Linked DNA regions of Drosophila melanogaster. The protein of the gene in region 1 interacts with the protein of each later gene in a pairwise test. Each region holds a gene or a part of one and is shown on either strand. Other genes may lie near its edges. The genes, in order: CG33170 and CG17648.

The links.
Region 2: the proteins of CG33170 (region 1) and CG17648 interact in a two-hybrid assay, tested with the Drosophila melanogaster proteins (one large-scale study listed by BioGRID).

What each region holds. Positions count from the first base shown.
Region 1 is NT_037436.4:22,863,294-22,868,058, reverse strand, and holds CG33170 (uncharacterized protein), read right to left. Parts: upstream 2,574-4,765; 5' UTR 2,519-2,573; coding exon 2,363-2,518; intron 2,289-2,362; coding exon 2,235-2,288; intron 2,182-2,234; coding exon 2,095-2,181; 3' UTR 2,025-2,094; intron 944-2,024; 3' UTR 660-943; coding exon of another isoform or gene 596-659; 3' UTR 524-595; downstream 1-523. Other genes in the region: EMC4 (ER membrane protein complex subunit 4), read left to right, coding at 23-152, 205-519; CG33169 (uncharacterized protein), read right to left, coding at 3,900-4,076.
Region 2 is NT_033779.5:1,750,279-1,753,553, reverse strand, and holds CG17648 (uncharacterized protein), read right to left. Parts: upstream 1,247-3,275; 5' UTR 1,172-1,246; coding exon 785-1,171; 3' UTR 706-784; downstream 1-705. Other genes in the region: CG17712 (uncharacterized protein), read left to right, coding at 1,529-2,683.

The DNA.
Region 1 (4,765 bases):
CCACTTTTGCTTTTTCCTGCAGCAAAAATGCTGATATTCCTTCGCCGCTGGGCTACAATCCATCTGCTTTGGTGAACCAGAGTGAAGTGGTGCGCGACCAGCGCCTGGTCATCAAGAAGTCGTGGGACCTTGCCCTGGGACCTCTTAAGAACGTGAGTAGCAGCCCTTTGGAAAGACCCGTGCTTAACCTTTGGATTCCCTCAGATTCCCATGAATCTATTCATCATGTACATGTCAGGAAACTCGATTTCCATTTTTCCCATCATGATGGTCGGCATGATGCTGATCCGGCCTATCAAGGCCATCTTCACCACCCAGGTGACTTCCAAAATGGCGGAGGGGGCCCAGGGAACTGGCCAGCGCATCGTCTACTTCCTGGGCAACCTAGCAAACGTGGCTTTGGCCCTCTACAAGTGCCAGAGCATGGGGCTCCTCCCCACCCACGCCTCCGATTGGTTGGCATTTGTCCAGCCTCAGACACGCCTGGAATATTACGGCGGAGGAATTTCGTTTGTCTAGTTTTACACATATAGATTCTCTTTATTTGATCATAGATAAATTGGTTTAAACTAAAATTGTGGTCTTATTCCGCCAGTCAGTCGTCTAGTATCTTCTTGGCCTCCTTTTTGATGTCATCCACTAGTTTCTCGCCGGGCGATCTGTTAAAGAAAATAGTAAAATAATTAAGATACAGAATGATAATATGATCTTATTTAGCATTGATTTCGTCATGGTTGCACCTGGCAACAAATTTTTATTCGGAAAAGCCATCATTCACCACAGTAGAAAGATATCATCACGACTTCGCACGCATTTTTTCAGCACTTTGTCCTATTTTCAGAATTTGTAAAACAAGCGCGTGGAAAGCTTAATATAAGATATCGAAAAAAAATCCAGGTTTAGTTGACAAGTTCGACTTATAAAATTTTTACAATTTTAATTACAAAGGCATTTGACAGAGTGTGGCTCGATGGACTTTTGTTTAAAATAATCAAGCTGTTGCCCCAAAACACACATAAGCTACTGAAGTCATACCTATATAACAGAGTGTTTGCAATAAGATGCGATACAAGCACTTCACGCGATTGCGCAATCGAAGCTGGAGTGCCGCAAGGCAGTGTACTGGGTCCAATCTTATACACCCTGTATACGGCGGATTTCCCCATAGACTACAATCTAACAACCTCCACGTTCGCTGATGATACCGCGATACTCAGTCGCTCGAAATGCCCAATAAAAGCCACGGCACTCCTATCCCGACACTTAACATCTGTAGAACGATGGCTTGCCGACTGGAGAATTTCAATAAATGTTCAAAAATGCAAGCAGGTTACCTTTACCTTAAACAAACAAACATGCCCACCACTGGTCTTGAATAACATATGCATTCCACAAGCCGACGAGGTAACATATCTGGGAGTTCATCTGGACAGGCGGCTCACTTGGCGCAAACATATAGAAGCCAAATCGAAACATCTTAAACTTAAAGCAAGGAACCTCCACTGGCTCATAAATGCTCGCTCTCCACTTAGTCTGGAGTTCAAAGCTCTTCTATACAACTCCGTCTTAAAACCTATCTGGACTTATGGCTCCGAGCTGTGGGGCAACGCATCCAGAAGTAACATAGACATTATTCAGCGAGCACAGTCAAGAATTCTGAGAATTATCACTGGAGCGCCGTGGTACCTTCGAAACGAAAACATACACAGAGACCTAAAAATCAAATTAGTAATCGAAGTAATAGCTGAGAAAAAAACGAAGTATAACGAAAAGCTGACCACCCATACAAATCCCCTCGCAAGAAAACTAATCCGAGTATGCAGTCAAAGCCGGCTGCACCGCAACGACCTCCCAGCCCAGCAATAAACTTATTAGGGCATTAATGAAAAAAAAAAAAACTATCACTAAGTGAAAGTTAATTAAGTTAGATTAAGATTTGAACACTTATTGTTAGTCTCTTAACACAAAGGGAAGATTCAATAAATAATAAAAAAAATTATAAAAAAAAAAAAAAAAAAAATTACAAAGGTCGCTCTATGACTTTTTTGAATTTAGTGAAGGTAACGTTATCCTTGTACGAAACTACCAAGGCTGTTACTTGTTCTTGGTTTGATCCATTAGTTCTTTGAGTTTCTCGTTGAAACGCTGCATCAACTTCTGGGGATCATCCACTCGGGGGACCTAAAAAAGCCACTGTATTAGGAGCAAGAACAAATGTGGGTTAGGTGGCTTACCTCATAGTTCTGTGAGACATAGATTCCCGTATACACCCCGGCGCCAAAAGTTAACTGGAATGGAGAAAGGAGGATTATTAGAGTGGGTTGTGAAAATCTTCCTGAAGATGTCTATTTCGCATGCTGACCGTCGAGAAACATATTACTCGCTTGAAAGTCCAAAAGCGTTTTTTGGGACAGCACGGCAATGGCTGGCGAACTTCCGGTGGGCAAGTTTTCGCAGAGCGACTCTGCCCGCCAGTTTTGAGCCTCAAAACCTGCGCCCCAAGTCCAAGCAGTTTCATTTTAACTTCCAGTCTATATAAACGATCAATTTGGTGAGGCCTGTGTTGTTTTTCAAAGAGTCCGAATCTGTTTACTCATGGCTTGAGCGGTCATGGTCGACATAATTTCCAACGACTAGGTGATTATTTTATTTTTGTGGATATTTGAATTTGTGAGGCCTTATATAACGTTGAACCAAAAGTCACTTATGTATGTATTCAAACAGCGCACACTGGGAAGTAAACTCAAATTGAACCAATTTTGGAATCTATTTAACTGGTGTTTTGGCGCACTTTCTACCGTTTTACCAATCCACTCTTGTTTTATCCGAGCAAGAATATTTTGAATTTTGCTTAAACTTTTAATACTATTTTTTTATTTGTTGAAGTTAGATATTGGGAAGGTATTTTCAAATGTATTACATTTTGTCATTTATATTAATCATTAATATTTAATCAAATAATTGGTTTTGATTTTGAACCCCTAGACAACACATTTCACCACTGTGCAGGGGCGCGTCATCGCCGCGAAAAGCAACACAACCACAAAAACCACAGAAAAGTTGTATCTCGTATCTGATATGATTTCAGGTGTGAATCATAAACTTAAAAACATCAGGAAACCGGAAAACTTACCAGAAACTTGAGCATAGTGGAATAGTTAAAGGAGCCTTTGTCACCCGCAGCCGCCAGCGTGAGAGTCTTAGCAAAAGTGAGAGAATGTGAAAAAGAAACGTCAAACGACGCTGCTTCGGCGCTTCGTCTGCAGCTGCTCGGAATCTGAAAACAGCTGACTGGCCCACTGCGATTTGTGTTTGTATGGTTAGGTAATCGTATTTGGCTGACTCTGATAACTATGGAGTTAAGTTACTGCCTTTCGAGCACTGAACTTTTACTTCAATTTATGTACATGCATATGCATATGTATTAACAATTATTAGTTTGCGGTCACCGACGACGAGCTCCTCGGTGGACGGGCGTAAGTGAAACTGAAACAAGGGCAATCGCAATTAAAAACTGAACGCAAAACGGCCAAAAATAAAACATGTTGGTGGATGCCGCCTTCTCTAATATACATATGCACATATTTACATATTGAAGTGCCTCTGCTACGGTTTTTACCGTTTCCTAGTGCCCTTTTTTAATCAACCGCCAAAGCGCTAGACGGTTTTCAACACTACCACCAACGACCGTAATTCGGATACATTTTGTCCCCAAATCTCAAATTCCCAGGAACTGCACTTGAACAGCAGGGTGTTGTTCGTGTCATGGAAAATCCACTTTATGTAAAACATGCTTTTTGGATGGACGAACTGTGATTTAATTGTACTATTAAGGCTATATGTCTTTACAACGATTCAATTGCACTGACCACGACTATAAACTACATTTTATGACTACATTAGGCCAAGACCGCGGGGCGGGTCTTCAAGTAGACGAACAGCACCAGAAAGACCGCCAAAACGCCGAGCGCCGGCAGCACCACGGTGCGGATCTTCGCCTGGGTCTCCAGGTTGTCCAGCTTGCGCTCCTTCTTCTGTTTGCGCGTCTCCTTCACCTTTCCCTTCAGCTGGCGCATCTTTATCACTGATAGTTTTTGCGATAGTTCCTTTAATCTGGTGACGTGTAACACTCGTCGGAATGTGTGTGCGTGGAGCAACAAAACAGAGAGCTGGCCTTCTTTCGTTCAACAAGTTGTTTCTGGGCCAAAGAAGAAGAAGAAACGTTCGACTGGGCTGGCTAAAAGCAGGCAGCTTTTGACTGTCGACAGTGCTGCTTATTTCATGCAGTTTCTGGTCGGGTTACTCTGATGACACGTCCGGCCGACTAGTGTTGAACAATGTCTCTGGGACGGAAGCGCGCGTTTAAAAAAGTCTTTATAATTAAATAACGCATTTCATAAGTTAGAAAGCCATCAATTAACCTGGGGCTGTATTTGCCTCCATCTGAACATAAAAATGTCGTAGCAAGTTGTACAAAATTCACTTGCCAGTCAATAGTGAATACTTTATTTACCCAAACAAAATATAAAATAAATATAGTTTAAAAGAAAATAAAGCCGACTGAATAAATTTTTGACTGCAGGCGAAAGTCAAAAACGTATATGCATATATGTGAGTATAGACGTTGTCCAAAGATAACGAAACAACGATACATTACAATAAATATTACAAAATTCTTGCAACGAATAAAATCTCACTCGAATTTAGTCAGATTAAAAGTAAATCGTAGTCAAAATATTTGAATGTTTTTCTATCTGCTTCAGAG
Region 2 (3,275 bases), on another chromosome or scaffold:
TTTAATTAAGACGGGATCGAGCGTATATGGTATATGGCATGTGGTGTACATGGATGTGGGTGGGGCAGACAGACGGCAGCTGCCTTAAACCAAATTACACTAATTGGGTTACCATATGACAGGGCAATGCGTCGACTGTGACATTTGTTTGCCATGGCTTGCCAATGCTTGCATTATGTCCGCCCGTCCACATCCTTCGCCCGCACAAACACAGCCCCCCACACGAATGTGTGGTGTACACTGAGAGAAAAAGCTCACTCAGTACGCAAATTCTTCAGAAGGGCTACCTTCCAAAAGTAAAGCCAAACTGGAGTCTCTAATCCCGTAATATTGATAGTTGTTCGGAAGTCTGAACCCCTAATTGTGCTCAGTGCATCATAAGCCCAGTCGTCAGTAAGTCCTTCACTCCACCGCCGTTTGCACTCGCAGTTGCCAGCTTGTAATAAGCTGCAGAATCATTTTCCGCATGCCGGCTGCTTTGACAGCTGCAATACCGCACATGGCTCAAAGGGTCGAAAAGCGGGCCACATGTGGTGGTATATGGTGGAAAAGGGGGAAAACGGGGCAACGGGCAAAGGATATGGGGAGTTGGAGACCGCACTCGAAATGGAAGCCAAAGGACTCTGGCTTAGTTAATTGAGTGGACAGCAAGGAGGTCTTTAAACTGAGATTGGCACGGATAAGAAGATAAGCATTATAGACTTTGTTGGCCTAATCTCACAGGTTCATTTGATTCTAAGCAGAGAAAAAAGAAAGTATTTTTTAAAAATAGTTTTAGAAACTTCTAGGCTTCGACGGCGGGTTCCATGGACAAGGACCTGCTGCTCACACTCCCGGCGGGGGTCATGATGTCCTCCAGCATTTGGTTGAGCGACTCGGAGCCCAGAGCGTACTCCTGCTTATTGGCACTTCGGTTGTGCATGGCGTCCAAGTAGACGCCACTCGCATTGCGCTCGCTGCTCAGAATGTGCTGCATGACATTGCTGATCTGTTCGGAGCCCAGGATCTTCGGTTGCTCGGTGGCCAGTCCATCGATGACCGCAGTTTCCAGCTGGCTTGAAATTTTGGCCGGCGACTCCTCCTCGTTGGCAGTTTTTAGAAAACGAATCGCCTGTGCAGAGGCCAAGGCTCCGGCCGTAAAAGAGGTCAGCAACTGAGCAATCGAAATCATTTGAAATTTGATATTTTTAAATGATTCGAAAGCGAATTTAGATCATGCTTTGAAAGTTCGTTACGATTGCTATGAATTGAGTTTAAATATTTCAAGGCTACATAAATTAGTAATTAACTCAATAGCCACCACTGATTTGGCTTACAAACTCTTTTGTTTAATATTATTTTTAAAAGCTTTAAATATTTTAAATAGATTTAGCTAGAAAATAGCTGACAGACACATATCGATATATCGCTGCGATAGCCACAGCTGTTCACGCCCGCAGTTTAAGCGATGTGGCAGCCCTGGTCGGCCACCAAAAAATAAACATTGGAATTTTCCCTTAACTTTATAGAGTTTTATCCAATTTGAGCGATGCTGCCGGGCGTTGGAGTGTTCGGAACGGGAGAGATAGCCAATGTGCTGGTGCCGCTGCTGCGGGAGAAAGGATTCGAGGTGCGGGCCATTTGGGGCAGGACCCTGAAAGAGGCGAAAGAGACTGCGACCACGCAGAATGTACAATTCCATACGAACGTAATCGACGATGTCCTGCTGCGGAAGGATGTGGATCTGGTGTTCATCGTGTGCCAGCCCTTTCTGCACGCGGAGATCTCGGTGAAGGCCTTGGGCATCGGGAAGCATGTGGTGTGCGACAAGCCAGCAGGATTGCACCAGCAGGACGCACTCAAAATGGTTCGGGCTTCTCAGTACTATCCCACTCTGATTTCCCTGGTCAATCACCCGCTGAGGTTCCTGCCCGCCTTTACACATATGCGTCGTTGTCTGCAGGAGGAGCTAATTGGCTCTATTGGCGACGTGGTACTCATGGATGTGCGCGTCCAGATGGGAACGCTCTTTCCCGAGAAGTACAACTGGATGTGCGATGCGCAAATGGGCGGCGGTGCCCTGAATCTCGTGGGATCCGTGGTGGACTTGGTCACCTTTCTGCTGCAACAGCAGGCAATAAGAGTGCATGGAGTCCTACGATCCTACACGAAAACCACACCGGCCATCAATGGCATTCGACAAATTACGGCTCCGGATTTCTGCAACTTCCAAATGGAACTGGCCAGTGGAACGCTGGTCACAGTGGCCCTGCACAGTCACACTGTGCCAGCAAAAGCCTTCTCGCAGGAAGTGCTCATCTATGGCAGCAAAGGACACCTGGTGGTCCGCGGCGGCGACCTATTTGTCCTCAAGGAGGGCCAACCCAAAGAGGAAGCTGTTTACGTGGATGTCCAGGATTTGCACTTCGCCACCAACAACTCTTTGCTACCACGACCATATATCAAAGGACTCTGCAAGATGGTGGGCGCTCTGAAGGAAGCCTTCGGCAGCAAGGAGTCCTCCTGGGTTAAGGCTCCAGTTTCCACAGCGGCCACCTTTGAGGACGGCCTCTACGTTCAGGCTGTGGTTGAGGCCATCCGGAAATCGAACGAGACCAGGCAGTGGCAAAGGGTTCAGCTGTCCACCGACAGCCCCCTGAATCACGACCAGATAATTCGATATGCACGCATGTCCACAATGTGAGGGAGTCTGTATTACATAGGTGCAATATATGAATGATTCCACTATATATTTTTTATATAATGTACGTGTTTAGTCTTTAAGCGTTCAAAAGATTCAGGCTTTCCAGCCGGCGTCATCTTCATCAATGTATTTAACTTATTTGTACGGCATCAGCATTTTGCAACTAATAAAATTGATTTGTTAGACATGAGACTTTATATTTATATTAGCTAGAAAACATTTCATGATAGTTAATAGCAAGGAACGAGAAGAAGTCATCAAATGTACCAAACGTTTTATTTTAAAAACAAAATTGTCTACACAAACTAAACGAAATATGTCATATACAAGTAATTCGAACTTAGGGCTAAAACTAAAGCTAATCACTAAAGAGACGAAACAAATTATTGATCACAAAAGTATCTTTGTAGCGGACCTTATAGAAGTAGATGAATATTCAAGACTTGGCATAGCTGGAGTCTTCGCGGAGATCCAGCTCAGTGGATGAAGTATTGTGTTTACAGGGCAAGATGGAAACGGGGTTATAGAGATTGTGTTGCAGTTGATCTTCCTTTTTGGTATATCAGCACTTAAACTGGATTTAAGCTACCCT